Macaca mulatta: one gene and its partners. The protein of the gene in region 1 interacts with the protein of each later gene in a biochemical or structural test. Links are inferred from orthologs where the notes say so. Each region holds a gene or a part of one and is shown on either strand. Other genes may lie near its edges. The genes, in order: MAGI1, CRHR1, NET1, CYSLTR2 and FCHSD2.

Evidence for each region.
Region 2: the proteins of MAGI1 (region 1) and CRHR1 form a complex in vitro, tested with the Homo sapiens proteins (2 studies listed by BioGRID and IntAct, with this or other methods). The link is inferred for Macaca mulatta from reciprocal best matches to the Homo sapiens genes MAGI1 and CRHR1.
Region 3: the proteins of MAGI1 (region 1) and NET1 form a complex in vitro, tested with the Homo sapiens proteins (3 studies listed by BioGRID and IntAct, with this or other methods). The link is inferred for Macaca mulatta from reciprocal best matches to the Homo sapiens genes MAGI1 and NET1.
Region 4: the proteins of MAGI1 (region 1) and CYSLTR2 interact in a test that uses a peptide from one of them, tested with the Homo sapiens proteins (2 studies listed by IntAct, with this or other methods). The link is inferred for Macaca mulatta from reciprocal best matches to the Homo sapiens genes MAGI1 and CYSLTR2.
Region 5: the proteins of MAGI1 (region 1) and FCHSD2 form a complex in vitro, tested with the Homo sapiens proteins (2 studies listed by BioGRID and IntAct, with this or other methods). The link is inferred for Macaca mulatta from reciprocal best matches to the Homo sapiens genes MAGI1 and FCHSD2.

The regions. Positions count from the first base shown.
Region 1 is NC_133407.1:128,932,011-128,937,592, reverse strand, and holds part of MAGI1 (membrane-associated guanylate kinase, WW and PDZ domain-containing protein 1), read left to right. Parts: intron 1-2,623; coding exon 2,624-2,715; intron 2,716-4,177; coding exon 4,178-4,370; intron 4,371-5,582. UniProt on the Homo sapiens protein: Plays a role in coupling actin fibers to cell junctions in endothelial cells, via its interaction with AMOTL2 and CDH5. May regulate acid-induced ASIC3 currents by modulating its expression at the cell surface.
Region 2 is NC_133421.1:70,737,439-70,743,020, forward strand, and holds part of CRHR1 (corticotropin-releasing factor receptor 1), read left to right. Parts: intron 1-1,526; coding exon 1,527-1,633; intron 1,634-1,872; coding exon 1,873-1,959; intron 1,960-2,389; coding exon 2,390-2,510; intron 2,511-2,718; coding exon 2,719-2,872; intron 2,873-3,184; coding exon 3,185-3,245; intron 3,246-5,443; coding exon 5,444-5,516; intron 5,517-5,582.
Region 3 is NC_133414.1:6,978,297-6,984,626, forward strand, and holds the start of NET1 (neuroepithelial cell-transforming gene 1 protein), read left to right. Parts: upstream 1-2,559; 5' UTR 2,560-2,695; coding exon 2,696-2,823; intron 2,824-6,330. UniProt on the Homo sapiens protein: Acts as a guanine nucleotide exchange factor (GEF) for RhoA GTPase. May be involved in activation of the SAPK/JNK pathway Stimulates genotoxic stress-induced RHOB activity in breast cancer cells leading to their cell death.
Region 4 is NC_133422.1:27,852,538-27,858,843, reverse strand, and holds the start of CYSLTR2 (cysteinyl leukotriene receptor 2), read right to left. Parts: upstream 3,994-6,306; 5' UTR 3,807-3,993; intron 1-3,806. UniProt on the Homo sapiens protein: Receptor for cysteinyl leukotrienes. The response is mediated via a G-protein that activates a phosphatidylinositol-calcium second messenger system.
Region 5 is NC_133419.1:73,505,672-73,512,053, forward strand, and holds the start of FCHSD2 (F-BAR and double SH3 domains protein 2), read right to left. Parts: upstream 4,107-6,382; 5' UTR 3,891-4,106; coding exon 3,870-3,890; intron 3,746-3,869; exon of another isoform or gene 3,235-3,745; intron 2,148-3,234; coding exon 2,050-2,147; intron 1-2,049. UniProt on the Homo sapiens protein: Adapter protein that plays a role in endocytosis via clathrin-coated pits. Contributes to the internalization of cell surface receptors, such as integrin ITGB1 and transferrin receptor.

The DNA of each region.
Region 1 (5,582 bases):
AAACGGTGTGATAAGCCTAAATCTGTTGGCCACAACCTCCCATACCATGCTAGCTCACACCTAAATGAGCAACAGTAGGCAGAAACTTGTTACATTTGGTGTCACTGTAGGATGGGCAAATGTTCCTGTGTTAAATGATGCTGAGAAAAATAGGTCTGGGCTGGAAGTCTCTGCAGAGGCCCTTTCGTTGTTCCCAGAAAGGCCACACACTCAGCAGACCTAAAACAGACTCTGCCAGGAACCCAGTGCTGGCTGGACAGCACCAGTGGTCTATTTCGGTAATAATCCTCCTGCTTGAGTGAACCAAAGACGGAGACACAACTTGATTTAATTTGTTGTTTCATTGAGGCTATTACAGCAAATATCCTTTAGCCAGCTACTCGAACAGAAAGAAAATATTGTTACCTTAGCGTGCTCAAGAAAATATTACTCTCAAATTGTGTTTATGGGAGTCCTGTGCTGTAGCTTAGCTCCATGTTCCCGGTGTTTTGCAGCTTAGCCTCAGCAATTATAATAAAAGCAGTGGATAGAAAGCACCCATTTACAGCCCTGGCACTGAGATAGCTCAAGTAAAAAGATCAGATTCGAACTCCTCTGACTTGTACTTACTGGTCATTTGGTTTCTTGTTTGTTGGTGCATTCATTCACTATACATTTTAAGTTTGTGGGTGAATCACTAAAAAGGGACATCTCTTCACCAACCTAAAATCTAAACATCCACCTTCTTCTTCCCTATTCCGTTGTACAAAACTGGAGAAGAAAAGAATTAAATTCTCAGGCCCGCACTTTCCTTCAGCCCCAAATCCAGTTAATTAAATAAGAAGGTATGCACTACAGCGTTTGAAAATCTCCTTTAGGATTCATTGCAACCGAATCGTATTTTTTTCTCTTTAAATAAAAGATACGTCATTTTATAGGTCATAAAACACCCTATGTATACATTAAAATATTAAGTAAGAATTAAATAGAAATAACCCTCTTTTACCTTAGTGAAGTAACAGAGTGGTATATAGAACGATTTCATATATAGTAAGTATTTTCTTATGGAAATTACATTTCTTTTAAAAAACAAGATATTCATTTTAAAGCCCTGGACCATTACTGGGCGTTGAAAGTAAAATACCAAGTTATTGGAAAATGAATTAATACTTTTAATGCTGAAATATCATAGGCAAATTCTAGAGTAAATCAGCGATTTTGGCAATGAGATATATGATTCATTAATATAGACTCTTTGTCATCACCATTGATCTTAAGGATTTGGAGGCCTGGCTGATTTTGGTAATAGTATTGAAATCCTAATAAACTTTGTACAGTCACCCCTCAGTATCTGCCGGGAATTGGTTTCAGGACACCTGCATCCCCCATCAAGGTTGTAAAAATCCATGGATGCTTAAATCCCTTGAAAATAGCATAATATTTGTGTGGAACACACACATACACACACACACACTCTCCTTCCTGTATTATTTGTTTGTTTGTTGTTTATGTATTTATTTATCTATTTGAGACAGCGTCTCACTCTGTCACCCAGGCTGGAGTGCACTGGGGCAGTCATGGCACACTGCAGTTTTAACCTCCCTGGCTCAAGCGATTCTCCCACCTCAGCTTCCTGAGTAGCTAGGACTATAGACACACACCACCACACCTGAACCATTTTTTATTTTTTGTAGAGACAAGGTCTCACTATGTTGCCCAGACTCAAATGCCTGGGCTCAAGCGATTCGCCGGCTTTGGCCTCCCAAAGTGCTGGGATTGCCACTGTAAGCTACCGCACCCACCTCCTCCTATATACTTTAAATCGTCTCTACACTGCTTATGACATCTAATACAATGCAAATGCCATGTAAATAGTTGTGATACTGTATTAGGAATAACGACAAGAAAAAAAAAATCTCTACGTATTCATCACAGCTAAAACCATTGTAGGTCTAACAAATTTTCTATCTGTGATTGGTTGAATCTAAGGATGCAGAACCCACAGATATGGAGGGCTGACTGTATGCAGAAATACTAGAATGTTTGAGAGTAATTTTTGGCAAAAATGATCTAACAAATTATTAGCATTGCTAGTCTTAATTATTTTAAGGAAGAAGAAAGTGACTTAAAGATAAATCAGAAAGTCTGTTTAAACCAAGCTGTTCTCTTTCATCCTCTAGTAGAGGAAACATCTGGTGACTTAACATGACTTCAGAATCCTTAGAGCCGGCTTCAGAGGTGGCTCTGACTTAGCCTGAGTTCTGTTCTTGGACATGGACACCTGCTTTGCAGTGTGGCACATCATACTTTTAATTTACTTAATTCCCCTTGCAAGAATACTGAGGAAAGCAGTTAATGCTGACTATTTGTAGTTAAGGATCATGGCTTGGGCTTGATTCGGAATTATCAAACAGTGATGAGTCCTTTGAAGAACTTTAGGGCTCAGTGACTATTCCCACTATTTACTTTATCCCCATGTCTTCTGTTATTTCACCTGTTCAGAGTATTTTGTTTCTTTGCCTATATTGAAAAGCTTCCATCTGATCAAGCACCACCATTCTTGTCTTGCAACTGTGTTCATCTTGGGGGTATCACTGCTTTTATCAGAAAAATAATCCATGTCTTTTTTCTCCCCTCTCTGCAGTTCCAGATTACCAGGAACAGGACATCTTCCTCTGGAGAAAAGAGACTGGATTTGGATTTAGGATTCTGGGTGGAAATGAACCAGGGGAACCTGTGAGTCTTTTGCTCGTCTCTCTCCCCGGCATATTTTTCTAAGGCTTCAAAGCAAATTGGCAACAGTGACAAATCACCAAGATTTGTCCAGCTAGATGCAACACTGACTCTTTCATCTTGAGTAGTATGGGTTTTTCATTGGATTTTGTGGAGCACTGTTTGTCTTGAGGAAGAAGAGACTAGATTCTTTCTAAAAAGTTTGTATGCGTGTTTGTGAAAAGTGGCAGCTGCAGCCTCTGTAGACCACCCCTTTCCCCCAAGGGAGACAAAAACAGAAAGCAAAACAGGATAATCATCACCTGATGTAACAGTAGCCTGGTCCTTCTGGCCAGGTCCCTTCACTCTGCCAGCAGGTACTGGGCTTTGTGTGTTGAGTTGCTGGTGTGCAGAGAGTATTTCACAAAGCCTTATGGGACAGTGATTGGAGAATGTCAGAACCCTGCCTTTACAAAACTTGAGAAAGAACCCTGAGTAAGGGTCAAGAAACGTTGAACTTCCCTGGATCTCAGTGACCTCCATTTTGGAATAAATTTAGAATAACATAACAGGGTTCTTTTGAAGGAAGAAAAGAAAACTAAAATAGGTATTGTTAATTTCCTTGTGATAATAATAGCCATTATTCATCGAGCGCTTACTATGTGCCAGGTTCTGTGCTAAAGGCTCTTAACATACATTCTCTCATTTATCCATCAAACCCACCAGTTTATCCCGTTTTCACATTGAGAAAAAGAAAAGCTAATTAACTTGCCCAAGATTACGGAGCTACCAAACGGAGGGACTGACAAATAAGGTCTGACTCGAATCCATGTTCTTAGCAACTATTTTGTCAAAGTTCTTTGCAAACTGTAAATGCCATGTAAAGGTAACTATAGCATTATTGTCTGCTGGAAAGGCAAGGTAGGCACAAGTATTTTAGCTAAGGTTTAGTGAATGGCAAATATAACAGTAAGACATTAACTATAAAGAATGCTCTGCTTTCAGGTGCTAAAAGACTTCGAAAATGGAGATGTCCAACTAATTTTTGCTTCATTCATTCATTTAAGAGTATTTATTACATATTCCCTATTCCTAGGCATGATGCTAGACTCTTAAATAAAAGTAATATTAAAATTTTATTAGCAGAGTTGTATGGAAAGAGAGTTTTTAGGTAGGTAGGAAAGAAGAATAGGTTGTACAATGAAGGGAGAAAAGTGATTTATATCTACAGCGGAGAAAAAGAAAGAGTGAGTTGTCAGTAGGCCACAGATAAACAGCTGGAAACTAAGCAAGAAATATTCTTTCCACCATTTAATAATTGTGACAATACTTAGCACAATGTCTTGTACACAGTGGGTGCTCAATAAATGTTTGTGGCATGCCTGCAGACATGAATGAATGAATTGTTCCCAGAGATGTGAAGGCCATTGATGTCACAGTAAATGTAGGAGAGAAGTGTTTCATCCATCGTTCAATTATTCAACAGATTTATATTGGTCACATTGTACCACTGGGTGCTGCTGATACCGACGGCCGCCTGAGGTCTGGAGATGAATTAATCTGTGTGGATGGGACGCCAGTAATTGGAAAATCACACCAGCTTGTGGTCCAGCTTATGCAACAAGCTGCCAAACAAGGCCACGTCAATCTCACAGTGCGGCGTAAAGTGGTTTTTGCGGGTATGTATTTCATTCATTCGTTCAGACAGTGCGTTGTCACTTGATTCACAGAAAAGGCCTCCTTCCTGTGTCTGCCTCCTTGAGCATCTATTTTAGCAAATGTTTGCAAATGTGATCAAGCTCAGAATTTCCAGATGGCTTGCTTCTCTCAAACCCTGCAAAAATTACTGTCATTCTAAAGTACTTTAATGTGCCGTTTGCATATGTTCAACAAAGTCTTCCAGAGGAAGGCTTGTTGAATATATATTACTTCCCTTCTATCTCCTTGCAAATCAGAACTTAGCCATCCTCTTCATTTGATGATAATCCTCAACAAATGAGGTCATTATGAAAGTCAGAAGAGTTGTAGCTTCATATCAAGAGAACAAAAATTGGGTTTGTGCTACAAAATAAGCTCATAAAAAAGTTACTGATTTCTTACTGTCCTATGTATTAAACCAAGATTTTTTTTTCTTTCTACAAGAAAGTTGTAGAGCCAGCCAGTTCTAGGTCAGCTTTGATTCCTTCTTCCTGCCCATAAGCTTTGAACTTTAATTCTCAAAATACTACATATCCTTTCAGGCTCAGCACAAATATAACCTTCTTCCCTCGGAAATTCCTCCTTCCTCCGACTACCTTCAGATTTTAGCATTCCCTCCTTGCCATTCTAGTGACTCATGGTTTACTTCCACATCCGAATCTGCCATTTTGAGACAGTGAATTGTGTGTCTGTCCTTTCCCTTGACCTACCAGCTTCCTGAAAGCTCACGTTGAATACACCTTGTTGTTCACCTTTGGATGCAGCTCCCACTTTGAAACCTTTGAGACAGAACCCAGAATACAGCAGAAGTGATTGTCTTCTATCAGTTGAATTACTGGAGAAATATGACCTGAAATATTATGAATTCTTGTGGCATTAATATTAGTGAAACAGATACCTGCCAGATCAAATTAATTGGTACCTTGTTTTTTTTTTTAAAAAAAAGTATAACCCATTTTAAATGGTATATGATTAATTATAGAATTAAGATGTTAAATTCCAGTGTGAGAGTCCTACCTCCTGCATCCATGGAAAACAGTGTTAATCTGCTGTAGGTTATGTCCCTAGAGCTTGTTTGTGGCCTCACAATCCTTCTTAACATAGTATTCCATGCAGCTAAAAGCAGTCAGTTAGAACTGGTTTTTGAGATGAGATGAAAACTATCTGGCTTCCCTGGCCCAAATAGAAATAGT
Region 2 (5,582 bases), on another chromosome or scaffold:
TGAGAACAGAGCTTCTGTAGGAGCCTCCGGACCTAAGAGGTTCCCGATGAGGATGCCCCTTCAGAAGGGCCTTGGTGGCCGGGCGGAACTGGGCATAGGGTCTTGGCTCCTCCTGGAATGCCTGGTGGGTAGGGCTGGACTTGACCTCTGGTTTCGTGTGGGTTCTGTAATTCCAACAGGAAGGCCTGTGGAGTAGCTCCTTGGTGGCTCTGAGAGGATGATGAGGGCCGTTGTGAGCTCCCCACTTCTCGGCGCTTGCATGTCACCCGCTTCTGTGCCTCATGATCATTCAGCCCCACCCCAGAGCCTGGAAACGGGGAGGGAGGGAGGTGCTGCCAGGGACCCCTCCTTTCCCAAAGCCACCTGCTTTTCAACACCTGTCTTTCTTTCCTTCACTCACACAACTGCTTCGGAGTTCGACTGCGTGTCAAGCTCTTGGTTTCTAGGCCCTGCTTCTTGGGACCTATAAAAGTGTGGATGGGGGCTTTGCTCTGGGGCAGGAGTCTGCAGAGAGCTAGGCATGGGGACTGGCCAGTCCCCTATTATGGGCTGGGGACCTGTTTGCAGCCTTTGTACCTTGCCAGTCTGCACGTGCAGGCAAGAGGTGGTTTTGAAGTTGCGCGACCTCCAGTGCGTCAACATAACCTCTGTGCTGTTTTCCTACAAACTAAAGCCCAGAAGCCCTTCCGGCTCCCCCTATGGGGTTGCCCTGATGGTTTCAGACGATAACAGATATGAAAATCCTCTGTAAATGGGAAGGCTTCATCACTCTTGGAACTTAAGATTGCTGTAAAGAGGAGGGCAGTGACCTCCATCAGTATATTAAATTCATTAGGAAATAAACCCGGGGAATGTGTTCCAGTCCTGGGAGAGGATCCTGTTCACTTTGCACAGATCCCCTTGGGCCAGGGATGGGGAAGGCCCTGGAAAGTGAGTTATGGAGCCTAAGGAGACTGTTCTGTGCTTTCGGCTGATTCTGTGGATGCCAGAGCCCAGCAGCTGTCCGGCCCCTCCTCGCTCACAGGAGCAGGCGGCGTTGCAGCAGGAGGGATTCAAGGGCGGCCGAGACGGTAGTGACTCAGTTCAGAAATGGGTGGAGAAGATAAATCCCGGGAGGTTGGTGTCTCTGCAGCTGAGAGGTCCACCTGGTGTTCCGACCGGGTGGCAGCATGGGCAGATGCGACTGTGAGGGCGCACCTGTGAGCCGGCCACACACGCTTATGCGTGCAGAGGGGGCGTCCGTGTGGAGTGGGGAATCCCACGTGATGTGGAGACTCAGACACAACACAGAGCAGTGAACAGAGCATGGGATTCAGGGACAGACAGAGCCTCAAACTGGACAGCATTGCTCTGCAGCGAGGCCTGACCCACAGCAGGTACTCAGGAAGGGGGAGTGGCCCTTGAGATCATGACCTGCTCCGTCCCAGCCACCCCCAGGCAATGTCCTCATAGAGCGGCTCCCATCCAGCAGGCGCAAGGGCTTGGCTGTGCAGAAAGCTCACCTCTGCCCCTCTCTCCTGCTCCAGAAAAAAAGCAAGGTGCACTACCATGTCGCAGTCATCATCAACTACCTGGGCCACTGTATCTCCCTGGTGGCCCTCCTGGTGGCCTTTGTCCTCTTCCTGCGGCTCAGGTGAGCAGACCCCAGCACTGCGTCCTCTTGTCCCCCGGCCCTAGAGCAGGAGCAGGGTGGAGAAGTGAGAGGAGCAGCTCGAGGTCGGGGTGGGGGTTGCTGGGAGAGGGTGGTAGGGCCTGGCTTATCCGAGAGTCTCAGGTCTCCGGGAACCTCTGGCAGAGCCGCTCTGCCCCCTCCGCAGTAGCTGCTGGAATGGTGGGGAGGGACAAAGCTTGTTTTATGTCACCCACACCCAGGACGGGCTGCACCCATTGGGGTGACCAGGCAGATGGTGCCCTGGAGGTGGGGGCTCCATGGAGTGGTGACCCATTTCAGGTTCGAAAGTACATGGGCCCCAGCACTACCGCCAAGGATGCAGGTGGCAGAGCCAGGGATGGGGATGGTTGGGATCAGGAGCCGAGCATCAGGGCTGGAGGCTGGGAGCAAGGCTGACCCCTGTGACTGTCCATCCTGGAATGGCAGGGAGTGGAAGGCACCCCCAGGGGAAGCAGGCATCCCCAGGAAGCCAGCTGCCCTGGTCCATGGAGTGCCAGGCAGAGCCTGGGGCTTTTGTCTGGGTGGGTTGCAGGCAGGAAGGGCTCCATGGGGCATTAGGAGAGCCTTGCTGTCACTTCCCTGTGTGACTTGGCCAGTTAGCCCTACCCTGTGCCTCAGTTTCCTCATCTACACATCTGGGTTGGGGTGATGTGGGTGGCCTGCCCCTTATCCTCTCTCTCCTGTCGCTCCCATCATCCACCTGCCCTGCTGCACCAGGAGCATCCGGTGCCTGCGAAACATCATCCACTGGAACCTCATCTCCGCCTTCATCCTGCGCAACGCCACCTGGTTCGTGGTGCAGCTAACCATGAGCCCTGAGGTCCACCAGAGCAACGTGGTGCGTCCTGGCGGGGGAGCGGGGAGCAGGTCAGGCCAAACCCACGTCAGAGAAGGGGCCCAGGTGGGCCTGCCCTGCAGAGGAGGAGCCCACAGAACAGGAGTGGGATCCCAGGGTGTGCCCCGTCCTGCCTGGGGGAGGCCCAGGGCCAGGGTTTGGTGCCACCCCTGCCCCTCATCATCATCTTTGGTTGGGGGTGGGGTGGCAGGTCTGGTGCAGGTTGGTGACCGCCGCCTACAACTACTTCCATGTGACCAACTTCTTCTGGATGTTCGGTGAGGGCTGCTACCTGCACACAGCCATCGTGCTCACCTACTCCACCGACCGGCTGCGCAAGTGGATGTTCATCTGCATCGGCTGGGGTGAGCTGGGCAGCCACCTCCCCAGCCTGGGCAGTGGCAGCCACCGTGCTGCCGTCTCCTCACCCAGACTCAGGCCAGAGGGCTGGGGGGCCTGAGGGATGGAGGTCGGGTTGGGGCAGTGGGGTGTGTGCCATAGCCCTCTGCTCCTCTTGGGGGTGGGGGGCAGCAGGAGCACCTTGAAGGAGGTGTGTGAGTTTGAGATCCACCCTGGGTAACCCTAGACCGCCTGGAGCCTGGGCTGCACTGGGGTCCTCCAGGCCCACATTCCCCAGCCCCCGCTGAGGGCTCTGTGACAGCCCATCTCTCCCCCAGGTGTGCCCTTCCCCATCATTGTGGCCTGGGCCATTGGGAAGCTGTACTACGACAATGAGAAGTAAGTCACCTCCTTTCCCTTCCTGCCCCCAAGGTTTAGGCTCCCAGCCTAGCTTGGTGACACTCCCAAGGGCCTTGGGCCATGCTGGCTTTCCCCTCAGGACCATGGCTTCTGCATCTGTAAAGGGAGGGATCTGGGGGGTTGGACTCATTCAGAGGGTCCCTGCCTGTGCTCTGCCTGGGTGGGACTGGACAAACAGGATCCAGCCTCCTTTATCTGCCTTGAGCTTACACAGGAAGCAGCCTGGAGCCAGACTGCCCAGGTTCAGAATCGTGGCTCCGTCATTAAATAGCTGTGTGACCTTGGACGGATTACTGCAGCGTGCCTCAGTTTCCTCATCTATAAAATGGACATACTGCCTCAAAGGGCTGTTGTGGGGTGATATCAGTCCATCTATATTAAGCATTTAGAATCGGACCTGGCACATAGAGCAAATGCTGTATAAATGTGTTCTCGTAATATTAAGACATCTTAATAGAAGAGTCCGTGAATTTAACAGAAGTGGACCTAGATGATCCCAGAGGCTTCTTCCAGCTCTGAAGTTCTTTGGTTCCTTATGAAACGGACTCAGGTGTTTCCAGTCGTGCCTGGAAACTTGATTTCTGCTGCAGTGGTGCTCAGCCTTGGCTCACATTAGAATCACCTGGGATGCTTCGAAAAGTACCAGTGCCCAGGCTTCACCGCCAGAGAGTCAGGTGTAATTAGTCTGGGGTGTGGCCTGGCACCCAGAATTCTTGAAAACTGCCCAGGTGATTCTAATGTGCAGCTAAGATTGAGAACCACTGAGAGAGAGGGGGGCAGAAAAGGTGGACGTGGATGGCAGGGGAGCCCCAGGACCTTGTTTGCCAAACAGGTGTTCCCAGGAACCTATCTGACTGACTGACCTGGCGTCCAAGTGGCCTCCACCACAGTGACAAGCCCTCTCCTCACCCCACGGAGGGGAGGGGGCCTGCATGGCTTCATTGGGCTGACGAAGGAGCCTGGAAGATTATCTTGCGTGTTTAGGAGGTTGACTCCCTCCTGACTCAGGCTAGCTGAGGCCTTGGGAGGCCGAGGCGGGTGGATCACTTGAGGTCAGGAGTTTGAGACCAGGCTGGCCAACATGGTGAAACCCCATATCTACTAAAAAAAAATACAAAAATTAGCTGGGTGTGGTGGTGCACACCTGTAGTGCCAGCTACTTGGGAAGGCTGAGGCAAGAGACTCTCTTGAACCCAGGAGGCAGAGGTTGCAGTGAGCCAAGATCGTGCCACTGCTCTCCAGCCTGGGCAACAGAGCAAGACTCCACAAGCCTCAAAAAACAAAGCAAAACAAAAACTGTTTGGGCTAAAGGAGAAAGTGAGTCTGAGCGGCTCTGAAGCCCCACCTGGTGGTGAAAATTCAACACTGCAACAGAGGGGATCTGGGTGTGAGAAAGCAGAAACGAACTTGCAGACCAGAGGCTCAAGGACTGGACCCAGCCCACAGAAGCTGTGTGTGGCCGGCAGGGTGTTTTCTGGAAACTCGATTTTGTAGCCAAGCTTTAAAAAATCCAAAGGTTTCGTATACAAATCTCAATTTCTGGCTTATGAGATCTAGCCACTGGGGGTCTTCTTACCCACGGGGACATAAGGGCTTCCAGTTTGTCTGGTCCCCACCCACTCCCCAGGCCTCCCTGGAGCTTGCTGGAGGGACACTCAGGAAAATGCAAAGCAATTACCCCCTGCAGCAGGTAGAACCTGTGCAGATGTTCCTCTCAAGGTCGTTCGGGCTGCGATTGGACAGGTTCAGGCTGAGATTGAGAACTGCTGGGTGCCCACTGGGTGACACGTGTGGTACCACTCCCACCAGCAGCCCCCCAGAGGACATGCTGGGCCTCAGCCACAGCCAGGGGACCGTGAGGAGGAGCCAAGGATGCAGCTTGCGTATTGAGCTCACGCCCGTTCCCGGCCACGCAGTCTTTCCCACTGTCTGCCTCCTGCCCCGATGCTTGCTTCCAACTTTGCATCTCATCACAGAGGATGCTGTCCATTCTGCAGATGGGACAACTGAGGCTTGGCAGTGGGATCAAGTGACTTGACCTTCTGCCAGGGTTGGAATTGGGACATCTACCTCCTGGCTTCCAGCCCCAGTCCTATCCTGGCCAAGCACTGTCCCTCCCCATGCCACCGAGGCAGATGCAGATGATGACTCCTCCCCTTTCCTCTGTGGCCTTCTAGGTGCTGGTTTGGCAAAAGGCCTGGGGTGTACACCGACTATATCTACCAGGGCCCCATGATCCTGGTCCTGCTGGTAAGACCCTGGGTAGGGGCAGGAGACAGGGCCCAGTGGGGAGGGGCGATCAATGCCAACCGTGGA
Region 3 (6,330 bases), on another chromosome or scaffold:
AGGCGATCCCGGAGAATAAAAGGGAGTGTTTGGCTTTTATAGAAAAAGTTCTTGTCCAAGTTTCCAATCAGATGTGTTTATGCAAATCACAGATTCAGACTTGCTCAGTTCGGATCGGGTAATACAGCTGAGCCCTGATTGGTTAAAGCAGATGAGTTCTGATTAGTTAGATCAGGTGAGCCCTGATTCGTCAATTCACGTAAATTGTGGAAATCCCAAAGGGACGTGGGTTTTCTGCACACAGAGTAGGTGTGACGTCTAGTCAAGCAGATAGCCCTTATCTCTGTTCAAAATCTGAGCCCAGTTAGCCACTTGGGATTTGACTTGAAGAATTGCTCTTACAGGTTTATTTTTGTTCATAATCTAAATATCTGCATCCACTGAAGCTCTGTCTTGGTAGAGACCAATTCCCCAAATATTAAGAACATTTCTTTATTCTTACACTCTAACGGCTATAAAGCAATGCTTTCTTCTTTGATTTTTGGGGAGAGATAGGGAAGGTAGAACAGAAGTGGTACTTATCCAAGGTCAACTTGTGTCCAGAGTTGGTTCCTTCCAGTGGGTTCATGGTCTTGCTGACTTCAAGAATGAAGCCATAGACCTTCGTGGTGAGTGTTACAGCTCTTAAAGGTGGCATGGATCCACAGAGTGAGCAGCAGCAAGATTTATTGTAAAGAGCAAAAGAACAAGGCTTACACAGCGTGGAAGGGGACCCCAGCGGGTTGCCACTGCAGGCTGGGGTGGACAGCTTTTATTCCCTTATTTGTCCCTTCCATGTTCCTTTTTTGTCCTATCAGAGTGCCCTTTTTTCAATCCTCCCTGCAATTGGCTACTTTGAGGGTCCTGCTGATTGGTATTTTACAGAGCGCTGATTGGTGCATTTTACAATTCTCTTGCCAGCTACAGAGAGCTGATCTGGTGCATTTTTGCAGAGTGCTGATTGGTGCATTTTACAATCCCCTTGCTAGCTACAGAGCACTGATTGGTGCGTTTTACAATCCTAGCTAAAGAATGCTGATTGGTGCGTTTTACAATCCTAGCTACAGAGTGCTGATTGGTGCATTTTGAAGTCCTCTTCCTAGACAGAAAAGTTCTCCAAGTCCCCACTCAACCCAGGACGTCCAGCTGGCTTCGCCTCTCAATCTTACTCCCTAATTTCTTGCTCTTTTTAAAACTAAAACATTTTTCCCTCATGTTATAAAGGTTCTACAAGTTCAATATGTCCTTATTTTAAAAAAAATTAAGTGCAAAAAATAAAAATTTTGAATACCTGAAGTCTAACTACCTAGAGACATTTTAATACATTGATTTTTTAATACATTTAATACATTTTAACACATTGACATTATCTTTTTCCTTTGTATAATCTCTTGTAATTCATAACTGAATATACTGAATATATCTCTATACTTCATGTTTTTATTTCAAATTACCAGTATACTATTACACACTTCACACTTCATTTTTGTTGGCTGAAAATATTCTTCTCAGTGGATGAGCTGTAAATCATTGTTTATTTAGGTTGTCTTAAATGTTTCTATTATAAACAATATCATTAATAGCTTCATGTTTATATAATTTTATTTTTTAGGATAAATTTCCAGAAGTTGAAATATAGTGCCAAAAGAGAAGTGTTTTTTTTTTTTTTTTGGAGACGGAGTCTCGCTCTGTCGCTGAGCTGGAGTGCAGTGCCATGATCTTGGTTCACTACAACCTCCGACTCCTTGGTTCAAGGGATTCTTCTGCCTCAGCCTCCCGAGTAGCTGGGATTACAGGCATGTGCCACCATGCCCAGTTAATTTTTGTATTTTAGTAGCGATGGGGTTTCACCATGTTGGCCAGGATGGTCTTGATCTCCTGACCTCATGATCCGCCTGCCTCGGCCTCCCAAAGTGCTGGGATTACAGGCGTGAGCCACCACTGCCGGTCAGGAGAAGCTATTTTAAAGACTTTGACACATATAAAGCAATATTTAAATTCAAAGAACGTGTAATTTAACAATTTTTTTTTTTTTTTTACTTGAGGCCGTCCTTTATTTTGTATTATGTCTTTTGCTGACTTTTTACAAGCAAAGGATGAAGTTACTTCATTCCGTTTTGCTAAGGAGAGACTGTGTATCCTTATTGGAAGACACCAGGGCTCAAAATTAGATTTTGCTGTTTCCTACCCTGGGAACACACTTGTATAATCTTTGGTAATTGGAAATATATCTCATATTGGCCACGTGCACAGTAATTTAGTGTGTATATGGCCAATAAACAAGCCTTGTTTACAGGTCATTACTTTGGACCTCTCTTCTCCCCAAATGCTAAGAAAGATCTGATGACTTAAAATGCTTCCAGTCCATTTGCCTTGGCCTGCAGTGAAAGTCCTAATGAACAATGAAGGAGGTATCGGGCCTTGGGGATTCAGGGATGCGCTCAACAGTTAATGTCAAGTTTTCCTAGGCTCTTTCCTAGGCAAGTGGATCCCGGGAGCGGCGAAGGGGCGGGACTCCACGTCTCCTAGGAACCGCTGCGCGCTCACTGATTGGCTGATCGCTGCGCAGCCGCCATTTTCAAATCCCCGGATGACGGCGGTGGCGGCTGCAGTCCGCTGACAGGCGCTTTCTGCCTGGCAGAGGCTGGCGGGCATCGTGCCCGTCCCTGCCGGTCTTCTGGGCACCCGGCCACCGCCCCACCCCCTCCTCCGTGCCATGGAGCCCGAGCTGGCGGCTCAGAAACAGCCCCGGCCGCGGAGGCGAAGCCGCCGGGCCTCTGGGCTCAGCACGGAGGGAGTGGCGGGGCCTTCGGCAGACACCTCTGGGCCGGAGCTGGACGGGAGGTGAGTGTGGGGGAGGGGAGGGCCGAACGGGAGGTGAGTGTTGGGGAGGCAGGGGCCGGGGGGAGGGGAGGGCTGGCCGTGAGTTGGGTGTGGGGGGCAGCGAGAGCGGGGGATGGGGGGATGGGGGGGTTGGTGAGGGCCAGGGGGAGGCGAGGGCCGCTGGGAGGTAAGTGGGGGGTGGGGGAGGTGACTGCGGGGTTCGGGGGAGGACCGGGGCCGCTGGAGATGAGGGTGACACAGGCCGGAGTGACAGTGTGCCTGGCCTTGGCCTGAGGTCGGTCCTGAGACTCCCAACTGCGATTTTCCCTGCCTGTGGCAAAGGGGCGGGCTTGTTGAGTCTCCTCTCCTCCTGTTTCTCAGGGGAGACTTAGGAAAAGCCACAATGGTTTTGTTCTCCACACCCAACTGGCTGTAGACTGGAGTTCCCAAATGACTTTACTCAGACCGAAACTGACATGGTGAGCACCACGAGAATGGGGTTCCATGTCCTGAGAATGAAAAGACTAGGGGATAAGTTGTGAGATGCCTATTTCCATCACAACCATTTTCGTGTTTTTTCTTTTTACTTTTTGTGGAAGTATACATTGAAATGAGAGTGTATGACTCGTGTTTGGCTCAGTGAAATTTCACAGAGCGAAGCTCAGGGGATAGCTGGTGAATTAGGAGGAAGGGAACCAAGTGAGAACAGTATCCAGGAGGCCAAATGAAGAAAGGATTTCAAGAGGACGTGATGAGCTGTGTCAGATGTTATTGACAGGTCAAATAAAAATGAGGATTAAGTAAAATATGAGGATTAAGCTAGATGAGGAATGAAAATTAAATTTGGTAATGAGAAGAGAGTATTGATCTTAGATGGTTACCAAGAATGGTTACAATATCGAACTTAGAGTGTTTTGTAACAGGTTGAGAAGAGAATGTGCGATTTGTTCAGGAAATAATGTGAGTGCCAACACTAGGAATATGGAAATGGAAAAATACTGTTCTTACTATTTAAGGTTTATAATCTAATAGGGAAGAAAGATAAGTAGGTTAATAATTATAATGTGTGATAAAAGTTATTACAGAATATAGAATTAGAATTCTATATATTATAGAATATAGAATGCCATAGATTAAAAGGAACACTTAATCCTGACTGGAGAGAACAGGAAATGATTTCCTATTGTAATCCTGAGTCTTTGAGGACCAGTTTAGAGAGCAGATGTAGATGGGTGATTTCAGGCAGAGAGGCATGTAGAAAGACCCTGAAGCAAATGGGTCTGATGAGTTCTGGGTGTATATTCTATTTTATTACTATATTAACAATACTATTTGTATAGAGGAGAGGAGACCAGTATAGGGAGAAGGAGGAGGTAGTCATGAGAGATTTATGCTAAAGAGGTAAGAGCCACATCATGAAGAGACCTTGTATGCCTTGACAGAGTTTGGGTTTTATCTTCATGGTAGTGGGGAAATACTGAAAGACTTTAAATGAGCCAATAGCATGACATATTTGCATTTTAAAAGATCAGTTTGTCTTCCATGAGAAAAATAAGCAACATTTTGGACTCATCTCACTCTTCATATTTTATGAAAACTATTCCCCAAAAACGTGCTCATATACATAAACATTTCAGGAGATTTGTGGACTCAGCCGTGTATACCAAATTAAAATTTCCAAGTTTAGATGATGAATTGGTAGGAAATCAGTCTGCAGTAGTCTAAATGAAAAATGATGATTGTTCAAATCTGATAGCTGGCAATGGGATTGGTGAAGAGAAGTCTCACTGCAACAGGAAGACAAGGAAGAAGAATAGAGGGAAATAACACAAGTTTGTGGGATAGACTCTTAAAAAAGAATAAACTTGATGTGCTGAGCTTAGTTAACAAATAGAGGGAGAGGTCGAACAGACAGTAGAGGAGAAAAATGGTTGAACAAGGATCCAAGAAGGCAGAAAAGGATAGAATCCAAATTCAAGGTGGAGGATTTAGCCTAACAAGAAGCTATGGATGGTACATAATTTTGAAGAATGGGGTGTGTCGTGAGCAGGAATTTGAGGACTTTCCCACCAGGCCTCTATTTTTTGTGTGAGGTAGGAAATGATCTATTCTGAGAAAAGCGTAGTAACACAGGCAACATGAGGAGAGTGAGACACAGAAGAACCATGGAGGGAAAATGGAGAATTAAATAACTAACATTCCTTTTCCAGAAAAGAGGTAAGATCATCTACAAGAATATGTAAAATATTACAAGATAGTATTAATTGTGAGGCAAGAAACAACTAAGGGCTGTATCAGATTCAGAAATCATAAGGAAAATTTGTGTATATGATTGTGTGACTATTAAAAAATGTTCTGCAAAACTCACTATAAACTAATTTGAAAGACAAATACGTACAGTACAATTTACCCACTTAAATCGTACTACTTAGAACATTTTCATCACCTCAAAAAGAGCATTTATAACCTTTAGCTGTTGTTCACCTCCTGCCCCTTCTGCCCCAAAACCTAATCTCTTGGTCTGTAGGAATTTCTGTGTTCTGGACATCGCATATGAATGAATTCATGTAATGTGTGTGGCCGTTTTTGGTGGGCCATCCTTTGGGGTTTTTTTTTTTTTTTTTTTGAGACAGAATCTCACTCTTCTCACCGGGGCTGGAGTGCAGTGGTGCGATCTTGGTTCGCTGCAACCTCTGCCTCCCAGGTTCAAGCGATTCTCCTGCCTCAGCCTACTGAGTAGCTGGGACTACAGGCATGTGTCACCACACGTGGCTAATTTTTTTTATTTTTAGTAAGACGGGGTTTCACCATGTTGGCCAGGCTTGTCTTGAACTCCTGACCTTGTGATTCGCCTGCCTGGGCGAGAGCCACCGCATCTGGCCCTGCTCATTTGCAAATTTCTTTTTTATTGAGTTAAGAGTTCTTTATTCTGGATACGAGTCCCTTATCAGATAGATTATTTGCAAATATTTTCTCTTATTCTGTGGGTTGTCTTTTCACTGTCATTATGTTCTTCGAAGCACAAAAATGTTTTAGTTTGTAGTCTTACTTGTCTATTTTTGCTTTTGTTGCCTGTGTTTTGATGTCATATCCAAGAAATCACTGCTAAATCCATTGTTACGAATCCTTTCCCCAGTGCTTTCTTCTGAGAATTGTATCGTTTTAGCTTTTACATTTAGGTCTTTAATCCATTTTGAGTTAGTTTTTGTATATAATGTGAGATGAGGGTCCAACCTAATTCTTTTTCATGTGTCTATCCAGGTACCCCAGCACCATTTTTTGAAGACTGTTCCTTCTCCCATTGAGTAGTCTTAGCACCCTTGTCAAAAATCAGTTGACCATAAACATGAGAGTTTATTTTTAGACTTTGACTTTTATTCCCTTGATCTATATGTAATAGCCCTATGCCATTACCATAGTGTATTGATTACCGTTGCTTTGTGTGGTAAGTTTTGAAATTGGGAAATGTGAGTCCTCCTACTTTGTTCTTTTTTTCCCCAAGATTGCTGTGGCTATCCTCGGTCTCCT
Region 4 (6,306 bases), on another chromosome or scaffold:
TTTGACAAAAGAGAAAAAAGAATCTAGGATGCCTTCAAATACTCTTTAGATGATTGTTTTTCTGTAGTAGAGGTACAAACAAGGTAAGATGCTGTTTCTACAGCCTCATGGGAGGAGACTTATATGGGAAATTATCTTTTTTATAATAAAAAAATTCTTATTTATGTAATGTACAATATAGGTAATAATGGTGGACTAAATTATTTTAAATTACCCCAGCTTAATATTTAAACTTCCAGAGTAAACCGGCTCCCTTCCCCTCTGTTCCTCTCTCCTTTTCCATCTCTTTCCCTCCTCTTCAATCTCTTTTCCTCCTCTTCCATCTCTTTCCTCCTCTCCTTTCTCCTCTACTCCCTTCCTTTCTCTCCTTCCTTCTTGTTCTTCCTATAGTCAGCTTCCTATACTTTCTGGAAACCTCTCTCTTAAGGATTTCACACTAAAGAAGCAAAAAAAGTCTACCTCTGGTCCCAGCTCTTCCTAAGGACCCTTCCAACTTTGGAATTTCTTGACTCCAACTCACTGCTTAGACCCTTATCCTGGGCCTCTCAAATAATAACTAGATTTCTCTGTCAAAAGACTCTGACTATACTGCCACAAAGTCATCAATCCATTGGAAGAGGTTTTCCTTTAAATTCTGTCAAGATTATATTTTCTCCATGGGTCAATTAATATAAAGAGGTTAATAAAGTTCCACAGAGATAAACATTAGCTGTAACTAAAGTCTGCATTCACTGGTGAATCGATTTATTTACACAATGCCTTATTCTCAATGGAGTTTATGTGCTAGGTTCTATGCAAGGACTCCAATGTCCAAGTCTTAGTCCAATAGAACCTACTGTACATAAGTAACTACAGTACAAAGGAGGCAGTGGCCAATACCCTGATAAATAAAGAAATACAGTGCTAGGGGTTTCTGACATGGATTTCAAAAAGCTCTCTAGCAAAGCTAAGCATCCACAGCAAAATACTTGCCTTTCTTTGTATTATCCAGTTTGGCTGCCGCATTAGCCAGAGTTCATTGGGTAATTGCACAATCCCTTGTGAGGCTTTTATCTTAAAGCCTTACCCTTGGGGAACTAGAGTGCCTCAGATATCTGGTGCATAGAGCAAACTATAGAAAAGCAGAAAGGATCCTTGATTCTGGAGTACACAGGAAATCTTAATGATGCCCAAAGTAACCATCATGTATTCATGTACACAGCAATGAGTAGTACACTGAAAAAATATAGCATCTTTCCTCCAAAACGGAGGCTGCTCATGTGATCCCAGGTGGATGGGAGGCAGAGTGATATAATGAATGAAACCATGTGCTTTTGAGTTAAAAGGGTCCTGGGTTTAAGTTTCAACTCTGCCTTTTAGTCTCTTTTATTACTGCAGCCCTCTGAGCTTCAAACTCTCCTCTGCCAAAGGAGCACTGGAGTGAGTACTGATGAAAAAAAAATGGATGTGAAGTGATTAACTTGGTGCCCAACACACACGAAGAATTCAGTCAGTACTAGCTGACAATCACAATAAAATTTGTGACAATAATGTACAAAACTCAGAGAATTAAATAGCAGCCTTCTTTACGGCCAAGTAAAAGATGGGGCCATTTCATCCGGAGAAGAGCCAACCAGAAAGACATGAACAATTCTATTTACTTTCCTTTATTTTTATTACACAAGTAGTACATGTTCATGGTAAAGAAAAATTACAATGTAATACAAGCTGAAATAAACTTAAATTATGAACTTTACCACCAACCAGACATATCTAAAATTTCACATATATGCTTTTTTTCATCTTTCTTGAAATATATACAAATATTTTTAAACAAAAATAAGCGCATTTATAATACTGTTTTATATCTTGCTTTTTTCTTATTTCCATGCCATGATCACCTTTCTTTGCCAAATAACAACATCAATGTCATCATCTAACTGGCTACAGAATAACCAATTATATAAACATTATGAAATATGTTTAACCAATTTCCCACAATAGCTATTATTTAAGTTGTAAGAATGGACCATGTGCCCTGGGCTAAACCAGATTGGACCAGTTCTGGTTCCACCTGGAAAAGATCCTATGTTCTCTCGGTCTCATCTTTACCATCTTTAAAATAAGAATTACTCCAGTTCTTAAGGCTAGTATGTGGATCAAATGAACTGATGCATGTAAACGTGTTTTGTAAAGTACTATGTGAATGTTTACATTCATTAATGAAGGTACTAAACAGGTGTTCTCCACTGAGTCAAAACAAGAAGAAATTTGATTAACATGCTGTTGGTCTCGTTGGCATGATTCCTGGCCTGCAGCAGGCTAGGAGTGCAACAGCAAATGCTTCAACGTGGTTTAGGGGCTCTGGCTCTGTTTTCAGTCCCCAATGGGAGAAACCAGAACGCAGCCCTGGCATAAACTCTGTCCACTTTCCTCCTGAGGACATGAGGTCCAGAGAAGGTAAGTGCCATGTCTATGGGGCTCCTGAAAGCCAGAGTGAGCCACCTTCTGCCTCCAAATCCAATGCCATCGATCTTCACTGTGCCCACAGTGTGTTAGTGACTGGCCAGCTATTAAATGCCCACCTTGTGTTTAATCTTGAAGATTGCAAAAGAAAGGAAGCCTGGCTGCCTTGGCAGATTCTAGCAGATATGGGCGTGATTCAGGTACATTCAGAACATACGACAGCCTCAACTTCTCTAACTTTTAACCATCGAAGCACTGGAAACAAATCCACCTCTTTAAAACATTAGTAAATCGAAACACAAGTAGATTCTCATCTCAAGAGTTTATGTGGCTGAGGTAGATAGAAATTTCTAGAAGTCTTATGTTTCCCCCCAAATTATTCTATAATTTGCATTATGTATGTAGTGTTGAAAGGGAGATTTGATTGGATTGCCTGAAATTATACCTTCCTTTCTCCTAATACATATTACTCTCAGGTATATGTCAGAGACAGAAAAATATTTTGAATGACGTAGGTCATCTGTTTTTATGCCGACCACCTATTAGAATCACCTGAGAAGTTTCTGGAAAACAAGACAAAATACTGCAGATGACTTGCTGATCTCTAAAAGTTAAGCTTCAATTATTCTAGGGGTAATTTTCTAATCTCCTCAGAGTCAGGTGATTCTGGCTTGATGTGCAGCCAGAGTTGAGAAACACTGGTTAGGGTCCCAGTGGGGTAAGGAACAGATTATATGCTCATGATCTCACATACTCTTTCACTCTCATTGTGCCTCTAAGCAAAACCATTGAAACATATGTGCTCAGATTCAACTTCTTCTACCTCTAAAACAAGACCCTGAATGAAAAAAATATATCTTATATAATAAAAGGACCCAAACTATGAAAAATAGGATAACTGCTATACAGCTAAAAATGGAGGAAGTAAAGTTCCTCAATGCAATATTATGCAGCAGCTTTAATTTATGATTACAAAGAATTCACAGCAACATGGAAAAACCATAGACTGAAATGCAGGAAATGAATATAAACGTGTCCATAGTGCAGGGACGCAACTATGAAAACTAAAGTTATATGTGCATATACACATTCACAAACACGCACACACACACACACATACACACACACACACACGGAAAACCCCCAAAATATCAATAGAGGCTATCTTGGTGGAGAATTTGGCTTCCTTTAACATTTTTGTACTTTCACAGTATTTTTTAAACTACCATGTACATGATAGGAAAATAATATTTATAGTAGAACAAAACAAATTTACTTTTCAAAAATTACTCCTCTATTACGTGATCTTCAAGTCATGATTCTCAACACTGAATTAACAAAACAAAGATTAAAATGCCCACCTGAAGTTCTCTGTCTTTCAGCTGCCCTGGCTTCTGCTGCCTCTATCTCTTCTGCCTTTCTCCTCCAAGTAATTCGGATTGCTCATTTAAAAGAAAAGGGAAACAGCAAATTATATTTATGAACAGTGCCAACCAATAGCAAGAAAGTCAGGAAGTGTAGCAGGTCATCTGTGCTTTTTAGAAGCCAGTATAGATGTCAGTGCAAGATCTCTTCTCAAGAAGGGGGAAGATTTCCAGTTAAGGGCTACATCTAAAAAGAAGAAACCTAAAATTGCCCTGCCCCTCTAATGACTGGTTTTTGTCATTATCTTTCTCAAGAGAACAAGCGGATATAATGGGTTAGAGTCAGGGATTTTAAGTGGCTTTTAGTTCTCCTGAAAGGTTTCTGTTTCCATGGCAACAGAAATAGCAACACTGCCTTACACACACAGCACTTTAGATTTGTTTAAAGCACTTCCCTCACTCACTTATATTTTCAATTCACTTGCACTCCAGCAGAGACCTTATCCACTCTGCTGAAAATGTTCTGTCAGAGGTTACCAATAACCTTGTTGCTCACATAAAAAATCCTTTCTCAGTCCTCACCTTCCTTCCCGTCTTGTTTGCATAGTTGACCACTACCACTTTCCTGAAACTTCTTCCTTGTTTCTCTGACTTTCCTGGTTCTTTTTCTCCCCCTCAGATTGCTCTTCTTTGCCTCTCTTTCTGATGCCTCTTCTTCCATCCCTTTTCTACATGTGAGCTTTCCCCAGAGGTCTGTGTTCTGACTTCTTCCCTCCTTCTCTTGCTCTTATCTATCTGATGCACAATCATGGCCAAATTTAATGTGACCCAGATGGACCTTTTCTCTTCCCCTCTTAGTCCTGCATCCCCCCATCTACCCTGTCTAAACAGTGGCACCACAATAATTTAGTCCATCCATAAACCTAGAAGTCACTTTTAACTTCTCTCTTTCTTCCACCACCCACTTCTGAGCCAACAAGTTCCATTTGTTCTGCCCATAAAATATGTCCCAAATCCAACCATTGCTGACCTCCCCATCACTGTTCAAATCCTCATTTCCTGGATAGAAAGCTGCAGTAACATTAAGCAAGAAAAATACATAAAAGGGATCCAAATTGGAAATAAATAAGTAAAATTATATCTGTCTGCAAATGATAAAATTTTATACGTAGGAAAACCTGAAGATTCCATACACACACACACACACACACACACAAAACCCCAATAGAACTAATAAGCAAATTCAGCAAAGTTGCAGGATAGGAAATCAATACACAAAAATCAGTTGCATTTATATATACTAACAATAAACAACCAAAAATGGAAACTAAGGAAACGATTCCATTTAGAATAGCATCAAAACGAATAAAATACTTTGGATATATACTCAGTAGTAGGGTTACTGAATCTTGTTGAGATCTCTGCACTCTCATGTTTACTGTAGCACTATTCACAATAGCCAAAATATGGATCACCCTAAATGTTCATCAACAGAAAGATGGATGAAAAATGTATATATTCACAATTGAATACTATTTATTGATTTAAAAAGAACAAAATTTTGTCATTTGTGGCAACATGGATGAGCTTGGAAGACATTATGTTAAGTGAAGTAAGCCAGGCATAGTAAGATAAATACTGCATGTTCTCATATGTGGAAGCTAAAAAAGTTGACCTGATAGAAGTAGAGAGTAGAATAGTGGTTACTAGAGGCTGGGAAGGGGAGGAGGCAGGGAGAGATAGACAGAGGTTGATTAATGGACACAAAAGTTGATCAGTGGACATCTAGATAAGAGGAATGTGTTCTAGTGTTCTACAGCACTGTAGAGTGACTGAAATAAACAACAATTTATTGTATATTTTCAAGTAGCTAGAAGAGCAAATTGTGAATGTTTTCAAAAATAAATGCCAAATGTTTAAGGTGGGGAATATGCTAATTACCCTAATTATACAGAAGAGTTGGCAAAGCCTGCAGCTGCCCTTGTCCTCTTCCCACTCCCAGCTCCCTCCCACATATGAAGAGCTCCACACTTAGGCATGGGGAATTCTAGCCCTCACGTCCATGTCCCCTCTCCCCTCAAAACAGCTGCTCTTGGCCACCTGTAGGATGTAGGGCTACACAAACTGTATGCTCTGATGCAACTAGGGAAAAGGCCATAACCTTTGAGGACACTTGGCTGGGGAATTCTCAAGTATCTAGAGCACAATACAGACAAGGAAGTGTCCCTCAGCCCCCGAGACTCTCAGCCCCCTTGGAACAAGAAAGGGGTTGGATGAGGATCAGGGAGGACTCTAACCTGTCTCTGGTCCTCATTCAGCCCTTCCTGTCGCAAGGGGTTGGGACCCCTCTGGTCCTCTCTGGTCTAAAGAATGGCACCAGGACAGTATGTTCTTATGCCTAAGTCTAGGAGTACTTAGGCCTTCATGCTCCAATCCCAGATCCCTTTCAGGTTCTACTCCTCTTGGTTGCTCTCCTGCTTTCTTCCCATGCTCCAGT
Region 5 (6,382 bases), on another chromosome or scaffold:
CTGGTGGTAATGTGGAAGAAATATTTAAAAGGAGAGATGGGAGACAGAAGATATAAGGACACCACTACAATAATTAGGATACTAGTATAATGCAAGCCAAAAGTGATAGATCAGCAATAATACAAACTAAGCAACAGGAACAGGAGCAAGAGACTATATCAACTTAGCTTAGATGTGTGCCATATTTCACATGCATTGTGATTTGATCTATACAACCTTGGGGAACAGAGGCCATTACTGCCCCTTTTTACAAATGAGAAAAATTAAGTTTATAAAGATTAATTCATTTTCCACAAGTCAGCACAGATATCAGGACACAAACTCGGGACTGTCTGACTGCAGTGTCCATATTCTTTACCATAAGCTCCTGCACCAAGCTACAGACAATAGGGGAAAAATGCAGACAAAATGCAATCAAGAAGTCTTTAGAAGACACAATCAACAGGAATTATTACAACCACTGACCACCGATACCCCACACGGGATCTTCACTTACACACTAATTCTGCCTTCCTGAACTGCTTCTGAAAATTTATTACTTTCTTCATCTAGAGATTTCTTAGTTTGCTTAGTAAGTTAAAAACCTTAAACTTTTAACCACATCAAGAGTTTCAGGTATCTCACACAGGAATTTTTTTTTTTTTCTTTTGAGACAGGGTCTCACTCTGTTGCCCAGGCTGGAGTGCAGTGCTGCCATCTCGGCTCACTGCAACCTCCACCTACTGGGTTCAAGCAATTCTTCTGCCTCAGCCTCCCAAGTAGCTACGACTACAGGCGCATGCCACCATGCCTGGCTAATTTTTGTATTTTTAGTAGAGACAGTGTTTCACCATGTTGGCCAGGCTGGTCTCAAACTCCAGACCTCAGGTCATCTGCCTACCTCAGCCTGCCAAAGTGCTGGGATTACAGGTGCGAGCCACCACGCATGGCCTCGCATAGGAATTTTTAAGTCTAAATATTTTCTTATGGTTATAACAAGGGGGGAAAGACAAATACAGAATTAAAATTGTAATTTTCAGTCAGAAAACAACAATCTTGATAAATCCAGATTGGATGAGAATAGATTTATATGCCTTAGTCAGAAACCCTAACGACACGTATACAACAGAAATGCTTATATTGCCTAAATATAGGAGAGGAAAAAAAGGAAATTCTTAAAACTAAAATCTTTGGGCTACAAACAGCAATTCAAACACATAATTTTATAATAACACCATCGAGTTAATATTTTTCATGAAACCAACATGAAGTGTACTACCAGAAAACTAGGTAACTGATAAGGCTTACAGACCCAATTCCAATGTGATAAATGTATTACAAAAGGGAAATAAGAATTGCAGCCACTCTTGTTTCACCATGCAAATCATCTCCCATTCTAGACAAAAATCTTTGTTGAACTGTCAGTCTATATTAAAAGACTGTTAAATAAGTGGTATTTCTTTCATTAAAATAAGTCATCCATCCCTCTAGGAAGAAAGATACTGATTTTCACAATATTAGCAAGATGTCTTAGCTATTCAAAGTTATCTTGACTATGAATATGAGTAACCTCAATAATAAAATAAAATATGATAAACACACTTCTCACTAAATTTGGCACTCAAAGACAAAGTTGTATTTGTCATGTTCTAACCCAGTGAGAGCATATAATCATCTGGGGTTGACTGGCTCACCCCCAGATATTAACCATTAACCACAAGTGTTGGTTTAAAAATCTAACTGTGTAAAACTGTTAAGGTCAATAAAATGATTGTTACAGTTCCATGGAAAGATTATTTAAACAAGAATCTTTAATTATTATAATTTGACTAATAAGACTTTTAAGGTCCTTTTTTCCAAATACTATGTGTGCATTATAGGTCCCCTACTGAAGGAAAAAGTTTGTATTGTGTTAGTTCCATTTCTAATTTCCAGCTGAGTCAAAGTTCTAACAGCCTTAAAGCAGGAAATCCAAAAGGAAATTCCATCATCAGTTCCTGGGGCTTGGTAACTCAAAGCTTCTTTGAAACAGAGAAATAGAAGTCCTTGAACTATTTACTATAGCCTTACCTCATATCTTCAAGCAAATCACATTCTGCTTGATGTTTGGCTTGAAGTTTTGTCATCTGCTCAACTTGAATGTTTTTCAGTTCTTGGGTAACTTTCACCTAAAATACACCATATATTTATGAAGGTCTTTTTACAAATTTAACCCAAAAAAATTGCTTAAGGAAAATACATCTGTCAGAATATGTCTCTTGCTCGCCTCTCCCCTGAAGGCCATAAATCCATTATTTGCCATCTAGTTTTATTTACTGAAGATACTTACTTAATGAAAAATTAAAGCCAAATAGCCTGAACAGAGGTTTAATGAAAATACACGACTATAAATATTATAAACTAAAGACATGCAAAATAAACTGCCAGTCATTCCATTTCATACACAAGCTCAATCCATGTCTAGGTCTTCCTAGAGTTTTAAAAGAGGCTGTCTTCTATTTCTAAAAAAGATTCAAAGACTTTAACCACCAGGAGAGGCAAGCAGAGTGTGGATGGGGGCTGGGAGGCTAAGAGTGCCTGATACCCAATGACCAATATTTACACAATCATGATAATATGCATGAATCGACTACATAAATTACTCCATAATGGCTGCGAAAAAGCACACTGTCTCAGAATGATGCCCTCGACTTGCTGACAGCGCATCAAATCACAATCTCTTTCTCACAAAGGAGAAAGCTAAAGTGACCTTCCAGCATATGCAGTGCTTTTAAACTACCCCGGCAAGCCGATCCCGGTAGAGGCTCCACTTCAAACAGCGAGAACAGCAAATGCCTGCTGGCCAGAGGGCCTCCCGCCAGGCCGGGCCCCAGGGTGCGAAGTTACGGTGGGTCTGGAATCTCGGCCTTAGGAGTGGGACCACTCGGAGGGGTGGGGGTACATGTTCGAAAGAAAATGACTCACTTAAATGGAGAAACCCGGATTAGGAAAGAGAGAAAGCAGAGGCAGCAGACACGGGTGAGTTAGGCGTTAGGCAAATGTTTGCCCACGAGGGGAGGACAGAACGGCCTCATCCACCCAGTGCCCAGAGTAGACATTCAGTATCTATCTGTAGGATTAAAAAGACAAGGACACAGCCTCGACCCCTGGGAAAGCTGGGGAAGGGCGCAGCGGGGAGGCTGATGACAAGCAGGGTGCATCCGTCACTCCCACCCTGGTCATCCAACCCCGGATCGCAGTGCACACGCCACGCACCTCCCGGGCCCGGTCCTCGCTTTTCAGAAGACAGCACTACAACCTCCTCGCCCCTCAGTCGGGAACGAGGCAGGACCCGTCAATCCTTAATTTATTTTCCCTTGGGGTGGGGAGGCGGTGACTATTCCAACTTCTTTTCGGCCGCCCCGTGGGAAAAGCAGGCCAAACCCTAAGGCTAGGCTAGAAACAAATCCCCCGCAAATTTGCAAGCGGGCGGGGCTGGCGACAAGCGGCTGGAGGGCTCAAAGCTGGTGCAGACTAAACAATCACACACGCACAAGGCTCTGCAAAGCTGCCGGGGCGTCCCTGCCTCCCCCTCGGTGCAGCCCGGAGAATGCACTTTGCAGCGGGCAGCATTGCCATGCGCGCGCACACACACAAATGCACACCCGAAACTCTTGTGAAATGTCTGGGGGTCTCCTGCGTAGAAAAGGGACGAGCCCCGGCGGCCCTTCTGTCGGAAAGGCAACTCACGAGCACGCCCCCCACCTGGAGCCGGCAGCAAGTCGGTGACAAGCCCAAGGCGAGGGCGGTCACGGCCCCTTGCGGGAGGGGGAGGGGGCGCAGCGGTCGCCCCAGCCGCGTTCCCCGTACGCATCCCTCCGAACCCCAAAGCCCACCAACTGCGCCCTTACCTTCCTCGGCGGCGGCTGCATGATGCTGAAGGGACATCAATCCTCCCCGACGGCAGCCTTAGCAAGGACCAGGAGGAGGAGGGCCGGAGAGGAGGGGACGGCCCAGCGAGCGCGCGCGTGTGTGAAAGGAGAGCCTAAGAAGCAGGACTTGCCCCGAAGGGAGCAGGCCGGCGGGCGGCCGAAGGACCCCAGCCAGAGACCGAGTGTGAGGAAAAGGGGGAGGAGCGCCGGGAAGGCTTGGGGCCCGGGCGGCCCGGGGGTGTGTGAGGAAGGAGGCGGAGACGGCGAAGGGGCGGGGGCCCCGGGAGCGGGGTCGCGAGGGTCTCCACCGGCCGGGCGGCGGGTGAGCCGCAGCAGAATTGTCCGCGCTCCCCGTCCGCCGCCTGCTGGGCCGCTCCCGGCGGACGCAGCGGCCCCCACCCCACCCACTCAGGCGGCCCGGCCCTCGCTGGGCCTAACGCCCCCGCCCGCCCGGGAGGAGGAAGGTGGTGCCGCGCTCCCGGCTAGGGCTCCACCACTCAGGCCGCGGGAATTTCCGGCCTCGCCGCGCGGCGCAGCGCCCCGCTCCGGCTGCTGAGGGAACCGCTCCGTCCAGAGCGGGGTTCGAGGGGCCGGTCCGCGCTGCCGGTAGGGAGCGAGGCCACGGCACAGGGCTTCGTACCGCGGCAGGGGAAGGGGGGAGCTAACGGATTGGTCGGCGGGTGGGAAGTGTAGAAACGCCAGCGCCAGGCGAAAATCCCCCCTTTCTCTCCGACAGTGGCACGTTCCAGACGCCTCCTGGCCTCCCTCCCCCACGCTGAGAGCCAGCCGGGGGCTTCCCGCGCGCTTTCCCGCCAGCTCGCCCCGGCGCGCGTCTCCGCTCGGGGGCGCGCACGTGGGCGGGAGAGGGCTCCGCGCCGACGCACGCGCAGAGGCCGCCCCCGTCTCCTGCCCGCCTTTGCGGCTGCAGTGTGTTTGTGTATGTGTCGGGGGGGCGGGGGGCGACGCTCACAGGGAAATGTTTGCAGTGGGGAGGGGGTCAGCATCCCTGTGGGATACAGAATTCTGGCGTTTGCTTCCTCTCAGCCCCTCAACACCCCACTCTCCCTACCAGCTAGATGTGCGCAAGAGGGACGAGCAAGGACAAGTCGCTTTGCGGCTGGCCGCAGGTGCCAGGCCATTGAGATTGTAGGGCGGAAAGGCAATTGCTCTGCAAAGGAAACGGCGGCACTCTACTGCAGGGCATTCAAGTCAAAGATCACTGACTCTGCGCTGAGAGGGAGCCGAGAGAACGTTAAGGCCGAGGCCCCCATTTCACAGACGGGGAGGCAAGTGCCCATAGAGGGAAACCTTTCTGAAGGTTACACAGCAGGACTAGAATCTCCGCGTCAGGAAGGGTTCTATGGGTTATTTTAAAAAAGAAACAGGTGCAGGATAATAGGCACGAGGAAAAGTAGAGGAGGCAGGAGAGGCCATAGAGGAAGCCCTTGTCTGGGAGTCAGGATCTCTGGGTGCCAGTCCACTTTGCCTACCCCTAACAGGCTAGGTGAGCTCGGGCTGCCTTATCTGCCAGTGAGGATGCTTATCTAAGCAGTGCACCCCACCACCACACATGAACCTTCCTGCTCTGTTCAGACCATCTACAGGGAGGGTTATCGGCCTCCCTTGGGGTCCTCAGAAGAGGAATACCTCTTCCCCATGCCGAGGGAGTTTTTTTGAGTCACGGGGCTGTGTGGAGGCTGAGCTGGTTTTTTCAGAAGTTGAGATCCCAGACAGCTGTTCTCAGAAGTGCAGTTAGGCCTAAGAGGAAGGTGAATGAGGCCTGGAGAGACAAGTAACTTCCCAGGTGACCACATGGCCAGAAATTGAAAAGGTGGAACTTAAACCCAGGTTGTTTACATTGAGTTAGGCTAGATTCTTGTACAGAAAAGTGATAGAGCTGTGTTTTGAGTAAGATTAATCTGGAGCTGTGTATGAACTAGGAGACTAGTCTTGCTATTTCTGGGTTCAAAAGTTAGCCCTTCACCAGAATCCTTAATTAAATCAGGGAAGGCCTGGGGCAAGGGGACAGGTGGATAGAGGCCTAGGGCCCTGACAGCTGTGGGGCGGCAGCTAGAGCCCAGGCCACAGTAACCTAGGCTGGGCTCCAGTCTCAGCTCCACCACCAATTTTTTGTGAAGGCTTGAGCTAGTCAATTCACTTATTTCAGCCTTGTTTCCTCACTTGTAAAATGGAGGTATAATGCTAACCTCATAGGCTTGCTGTATTAAATAGAATTTCTCCTACCACAGGGCCTGGCATGTAGTGCTTAGTAAGTGCTTATTGATTCATCATTCATTCAAAAAATACTTGCTAAGGTCCTGCTTTGTTCCAAGCCTATGCCAGGCACTGGGGTTCTAGAGATGAGCAAGATAGAATCAGCCTTCACCAAGATTGAATTCCAGACCAACCATTCCTTGAATGACACTGGGCTAGTGGAAGAGGGGTAACACAGTACTTGGCCCGGATGCAGTGTCATGCACATAGCAAGTGCT